2 linked regions of the Rattus norvegicus genome follow. The protein of the gene in region 2 interacts with the protein of the main gene of each other region in a pairwise test. Links are inferred from orthologs where the notes say so. Each region holds a gene or a part of one and is shown on either strand. Other genes may lie near its edges.

Region 1 (3,652 bases), on a different chromosome or scaffold from region 2:
CAAAACAAGAGCTGCCTTAGCTTCAGTACTAAGGAGTGACAACCCTCCACTCTGATGGCATCTGTAAGATGGATAACACTCTGTCGATCTGTCTTGAGTAAGAAACAAGTATAAAATAGGAGAAAGTGGGGCTGGAGAGATGGCTCAGCGGTTAAGAGTGCTGACTGCTCTTCCAGAGGTCCTGAGTTCAAATCCCAGCAACCACATGGTGGCTCACAACCATCTGTAATGGGATCTGATGCCCTCTTCTGGCTTGCAAGTGTACATGCAGGCAGAACTCCATACACAATAAATAAATAAATCTTTTAAAAACAATGAAAAAACAAAGGTAGGAAGTAAATCTGCCTTTCAGTTGGACCGAGAACATAAAGCATGTTATCTGGTGGAGAAAGGGGACGTGTTGGGTGCACCCTCTGGGCTGGTAAAAGCCTCTCTGGTGGAGAAAGGGGACGTGTTGGGTGCACCCTCTGGGCTGGTAAAAGCCTCTCTGGGGAGTCAACTTACAGAAAGACGGGATCCAGCCCTCGCTCTCGCGATGCTTTCTTTCTCCTTCTCAGATACCTTTCTCTGCACAACCTGGAAATTGTTCAAGGCCGACGAGAAGTCATTCATGAGCCGCTCCTTCTGAAGCTTCTGTTGGCGCTGAAGACAGTAAGCAAGAAGTTTAAATCTCAAGAGAACTCAGATTCATTTGGTTTAATATTGATTAAAAGCACAATTATATACTTAAGAGATTTCGAGGTACAAAAGTCATTACAAAACGGGCTTTTCCTTAAATCCTAAGTTGTTCCTTCCTGAGTCAAATCCCCAGTTAACCCACGTAAGAACATACAGGTGAGCGTGGGAACCAGGTGACGTTTACACGACACTGAAATGGAAGTGCAATTTGGAATATCTGGGCCCTGGAGAATCTAAATGCATAGTGGAGGCCTTTGAGCTCAGAGCGTCTAGTTTTTTTGGGGGGGGAAAATATTAAAACTACTTTTCTATACTAAGTTATTAGTTTTCCTGAAGATTACCATTATTTTCCTTTATAGTTTTTTTTTGAATTTTAAAAAATTTCAAGAACTTAAAAAAAAACTTATAACTTATAGTTACCTTCACAACACTACTTATTTAACTACTTAACTATAAACCGAGAACCCGCTCTGGGCTACGCATCTGACTTAAATACTGTATTCTTCTTCTCCTCCTGCTCTTCCTCTCCATTCTCCTCCTCAGTCTCTTCTTTTTTAATGGTTTTTCAAGACAGGGTTTCTCTGTGCAGTCCTGGCTGGCCTCCAAAAGTCATAGAAATCCACCTACCTATGCCTCCCAAATGCTGGGATTAAAGCCATGTGCCTCCACTGCCCAGCCAACAAATACTATATTTTTTAAATAGCTTATTTTCCTACATCATAAAGCTGGAAAATATCAGAACTTAACAAAGGGGCGGAGCTGGAGAGATGGCTCAGTGGTTAAGAGCACCGACTGCTCTTCCAGAGGTCCTGAGTTCAATTCCCAGCAACCACATGGTGGCTCACAACCATCTGTAATGGGATCTGATGCCCTCTTCTGGTGTGACTGAAGACAGCTACAGTGCACTTACATACATAAAATAAATAAATCTTTAAAAAAAAAAAATAAAAAGAAGGTAGTTTGGTTGGATCCAAAGGTATATTGGTAAGAGAACTAAAACAGAAAAACAGGGAAGCAGGGAAGGGCTGACTAGCCAGTTCTAAAGGTCAAACTAGTACACATAGGGTCACCTCTGAGGAGCCGACCAACAGCAACTGAGTGGGGGACACTGCCTGGCAAGGACAACCTACTAACGTAGAGACCAGGCTGTGATGCTTGCTAGCTGGAATGAGCAATAAAAAAAATGACTGTAGCAATGTAGTTTAACGGGTAGAGGACATAATGGTAGTAATGGGCCCAGAAAGGAGTTTAAGAAACATTATGACTTGGTGACTAGGACGGAGGAAGAGCATAGGTCAGAAGGACTCACACTTCAAACCCGGGAAGTGATAGCAATACTGAAAGACACTTTAGGTGAGGAAAGTTTTCTTCCTTCTGGGATTTTCATCTCTGCATTAAGAAGATTTTAGCAGGCTGGACACAGTGATGTACGCCTTTGATGCCAGCACTTGGGAGGCAGAGGCAGGCAGTGAGTGCAAGGCCAGCCTGAGAAAGTCAGTTCTAGGCCAGCCAGAGGCCACAGTGAAACTCTGTCTCAAACAAACAAACAACCCCAAAGAATTCTGTGGACTGTAATCCCAGCACTCAGGGCAAAGCCAGGAGGACTGTGGCAGGAAGGAAAGAACGCCACTCCTGACCTCACCATCTACAATTGCTGAAGCTGGGCATGGTGGTACATGCCTTTGAGCTCAACACTGGGGAGGCAGAGGCAGGTGGATCTCTGTGAGTTTGAAGCCAGCCTGGTCTACATAGAGAGTTTTAGTAGAGCCGGGACTATACAGAGAGATCAACCAACCAACAAATAAATAAAAATTACTCATTGGGTCAAACACATGACCTTATACATACAAATCAAGGAACCATACATACTGAGTTTCCCTAGGCCCCAAAATGCCATTTTTAAAGTGTATCATACTTTCTGCATTAATATATTCTTTTTTCTTTTCTTTTTTTCGGAGCTGGGGACCAAACCCAGGGCCTTGCGTTTGCTAGGCAAGTGCTCTACCACTGAGCTACATCCCCAACCCCTAATATATTCTTTAAAATAAGAAATTTTAATTATTGCCTTCATTTTAAGAACTTTTTTTACTACATTTTTTGTAAAAATTCCTTCCACTATTATCAGTTTTAAATCACTATAAATAAAGTTAAAAGTGAGCTTCATTGTAATAATTAGTAATTTACACTTTCCTTCAAATTCTTTTCTTTAGAACAAATTTATATGAGTGTGATTAGATCAAAAGGCACATTTTGTCTTTCCTATGCTGGGGATAGAACCAAAGATCTTGCGCATACCTGTGAGTCATATAGACCCAGTCCTTATTTGTCAATTATTTCTATGATGATAAATATCCTCAGTCAACTTATTTCCTGGGTTTGAATGGGAAACGGAATAAGACCATTACTACCATACTTTATACGGAGGTAATACATTCAAGAGGAGACAGCCAGAGCCGGACATATAGTTCAGTGTAGGTCACATATCCGGCATAGGTAAGGCCCTGCATTCCACCCCCAGCACCACAAATAAGTCTGAAACAGAGTTGAACAAGGGCTGGTAATAGCAGCTGGCAGCATGATGAAGTAACCCAAGGCTTGGGAGCTCAAGTTTGGGAACTATCTGGCGCCACCATTATTCAGATGGCACTGACGTCATTAAATAAGTGAGGCTCCTGGGGAAGAATGGCTGAGGTAAGGAAATCAGAAGATCAATAGCAGAACTCTGGGCATGCCAACTTTGAGAAGAATCAGTGAAGAAGGCTGAAACTCATCTTGGGCACCATCAGTGAAATAAGTGTCTCAAAAGAAAGGGGGTTCAAAAAAAAAAAAGAAAGGGGGTTCAAAAAAGGCCACAGTAGTCAGCAGCTGAGAGATCCCCTAACAGAATGCATGCATGGGAAATAGAAAGCACCTTCCTAATGCTGTGACCCTTAAATACAGCTCCTCATGTTGTGGTGACTCCAGCCATAAAACT
Region 2 (3,640 bases):
CTCGCACGGGCACTCTCATCTGCGTATCGGGGCTGCTTTTGGGACACCGTGAGGCAGTGCTACAGAACCGGTTAGCCTGTGAGCATGCCACACTTTTTTTAATTTAAGATTTATTTATTTATTTACTATGTATACAGAATTTTGCCTGCATCTATGCCTGCATAGCAGAAAAGGGCACCAAATCAAGCCACCATGTGATTGCTGGAAGTTGAACCCGGATCCTCTGGAAGAACAGCCAGATGATCTTGACTGCTGAGACATCTCTCTGGCCGGCTTGGAACACTTAAATCTTTCTTCATTTCGGAGTTTTCTATCCCAAAGTCAGAAGGCTCAGGCTGGTGAGAAGCTTCACTGTGTAAAGACAGCTGCCTCCAAGCCTGACCACCTGAGTCTGACCTCTGGGAGCCAAGTGATGGAGAGACCAACTCCTGAATGTTGTCCTAACACCTCCACATGTGTTATGCTGGGGCACAAGAAACACACACACACACACACACACACACACACACACACACACACACACACTCACTCACGCACGCACCTCTGAAGAAAAGGGCTTATTCAAGCAAAGTAGAATTTTTTTTTTTTTACTGAAGTGATACATTATACATTTAAAATTGCACAGTTATAAGAAGAGAAGGGGAAATAAAGATGCTCTGATCTTTTGTTCTACTTGTTACATGAATGAACTTCAGGCCTCTCCTACAGAACGAGGAAAACCAATTGACGAGGTCACTCCAATGCTGGTGAGTTACAGGTCAGTAGCTGTTAGTCTTCTCTGGAGGACAGTGCACTTGTTTTGGTGGTACACGTAGCACACAGCTAACCTAAGGTTACAAATGCCGCCTCTCTGAAGGCGGGGTGTCTCAGGCTGTCTTGCAGACCTCGCATGGCAAGTAGCTCACTGGTCTGTCCACTCCACTCATGCTTGCCACCTCCCCAGCACTAACCCTTGCTAGGCCAGAGAGCAGGAGTGAGTCTTTCCTTCCTCTCCCACCATCCACAGTCACTGATTCTCTTGAGACAAGATCTTACCCTGAACCTGGAACTCATAGCCACCCTTCCACCTTGGCCTAAGTGCTGTGATTAGAGTGTCAGCCAGCAGACCTGGTTCTGGAGCTTCCCCAAGTCCTTTGTTGTCTGTGATGTGCAAACGACCCTGCTTTATAAGGCAGCACCTGCTCCAGCCAGTCTCCAGCAGGCCAACAGACAACTTCAGAGGACCACAGAGTCTGAGGAACAGGACAAAATGGACAAGGACCTCTAATGGTTTACAGGAACACGGTTTCACAGTTTCACATTCATGGAGTAAAGAAAGACTGGGAAAGGAGCGATTGGCTTCATTCATTTAGCAAAACAAAGAAAGGTTCATAAAATGTCCCTTAGCCTCAGTCAGCTGATTCCCACTAGGATGCCCATGGAAGGCATCCTCGTGTGTTCATTTCTTGGGATTGTTAATTTCTACAAGGCTATGCCTGATGGTGATAAAGAGGAACAGTTATTAGAACATGAGAAGGTTTCATAGAAAAAAAAAACACCAATAAACAATTAGGAGTGGAGATACATATGGATTGGTCTCTCTCTACATTGTTTGAGACAGGTCTGAATATATTGTCTTGGCTGGCCTGGAACTCACAGAGGTCCACTTCAGTCAGATCTTTACGTTTGGGCCCTTTCTGCCTGTGGCTGCTGTATTTTCAGGAAGGTTGGATATTTTGGGACAAGAGTGAGTTCATGTTGCTACATGAACAGTAATAGTCCTGATACCCCATCTTCTGATCCTCTCCCCAACCGTGGAGACCAACCCCAGGCCCCAGGAGAGAAGGTAGATAATTGACCACTGAGCTGCACCCCTAGCCCCACTGCGTGCTTTGCTTTAAGACTACAGACTCCAAATGCTGAAGGAAGGATCCCCAAGCAGCACAAGAGCCATGTTTTAAGGCAAGAAGGCACTGGCATTTTAGATTCTGACATATCTTACTAGTTAAAAAGTCCCCTTTACCTTCTTCAAAATGCGTGACTTTGATTTTAATATAGTCAGGTGTTCCGTGGCTTTAGTAACTCTACTGGCAGTACCAACACAAGGGAAATTTCTTGCAGGAATCAGTTTTAATTAATGCTTCTAAATATTTTCTTTTGGAAACTGAAGGGAGCAAACACTAGCTAGCTAAGAGAGTCTCCGGCCTCTTGGTCCAATCATCTGACAGACAGAGGTGAGCATCATTTGTGGGGTCTAAGTCCTAAAACTAGGTGGAGCACTTTGTAGAAATGGAGACTGCGTGGGTCTCTGGGATGGATGAGGAGACTCCAGGCACCAAATAAACACGGCCTTTGGTTCTATTCCCAGAGGCACAGGGCTCAGTGTCGAGGTTTTTAAGTAATACTCCATGCACACAAACCAACCGACAAGTTGGCTTTGAGCCGGTGGAGAAAGTCCCCACCAGAGATGGAAAGAGTGAGGTGAGAACCGGTGGGAAGAAGGGCACGTCTGTTCTCACACGCTCCCTCCCAGGTGTCATGTCTAGCAATCCTGCTCTGAGTCCTTCTGCTAAAGTGCAGGACGAGAACAGAAGATGGGGGTTGGGACAATGAAGGCAACACATTTCAGTTCTGTACAGAACATGGATCCTTTTCATGGGGAGAGAGCTACCATGTGCTCAGTTTGTGTGCAGGCATGTCCACAAGACTTGACATATGAAGATGTGGAGGGACCCTTCCTTCTGCCACAAACCCAGGGTCCCTTCACATCTGAATTCACAGTAAGGCCTCAGAGTGAGAAACATAACTAATGGGTAAGTGAAAGGCAGTGCTTACCAACACTCTGCCCACAGCTCTGCAGACACTCGTGAAATTAGAAACGCAGTGCCTTCTCTCCTTCCAGCACAGTAACCAAAGGCTCAAGGTGTTCATAATTCTCTGCTTAGACTAAAACTCAGCAGACAGCTCACAGAACTTTGTTGATCTTACCAAAATGTGGAAGATACATTTTTTCCCCATTGATACTAAAATTTCAAAGACCCACATTTGAAAACGTGTTACATTACATACTAAGTGACATCCATAAGAGTTTAACGGATTATGACTCTTCTCATCAGGACGGAGCAGAGCGTCTTCGTGTCTCTAGAGTTGCCGCACCTTTTTTTCTGTGCTTTTTATATTGACATCTAACTTGTCCACTTTGGTTGTTAGCCGGTCAAGGATGTCATCCTGCTCCTCGATTTCCGTCTGCATTCCTAAGGCTATGTCCTTTAGGCGGCCCAATCCCACAGACAGCTCATCTGTGAGAAGGAAATGACAGGCAGTCACAGTGCCTCTGGATTACAGAGTCCTGCCTGAGAGGCTGTGTGCCATATGTGTGCCAGCTTGTAGCATATGCTTCTCACAATACACAGAAGTGAAAAGAAAGATATTTACCACACAGTAATATGTAGCTAACGTAGGGAGAGGCCACCGTGTATCTCCTTTCTCCAGACAACCACTGTTAAGAGGGATTTTTTGTTGTTGTTATTTTAAGTATCATCTTGATATATAGCTCTGGCTGTAACTCACTAAGCAGTCCAGGCTGGCCCTGAGGTCACAGAGATCTCCCTGTTTCTGCTTGAGAAGATCACAGGGGTCACTAGTCCATATGGCGTTTCCC

What was found.
Region 1: the proteins of Snap29 (region 2) and Stx12 interact in binary tests that used the Homo sapiens proteins (3 or more experiments, as listed by UniProt). The link is inferred for Rattus norvegicus from reciprocal best matches to the Homo sapiens genes SNAP29 and STX12.

The regions. Positions count from the first base shown.
Region 1 is NC_086023.1:150,355,814-150,359,465, forward strand, and holds part of Stx12 (syntaxin-12), read right to left. Parts: intron 643-3,652; coding exon 505-642; intron 1-504. UniProt on the Homo sapiens protein: SNARE promoting fusion of transport vesicles with target membranes. Together with SNARE STX6, promotes movement of vesicles from endosomes to the cell membrane, and may therefore function in the endocytic recycling pathway.
Region 2 is NC_086029.1:97,082,150-97,085,789, forward strand, and holds the end of Snap29 (synaptosomal-associated protein 29), read right to left. Parts: intron 3,279-3,640; coding exon 3,121-3,278; 3' UTR 572-3,120; downstream 1-571. UniProt on the Homo sapiens protein: SNAREs, soluble N-ethylmaleimide-sensitive factor-attachment protein receptors, are essential proteins for fusion of cellular membranes.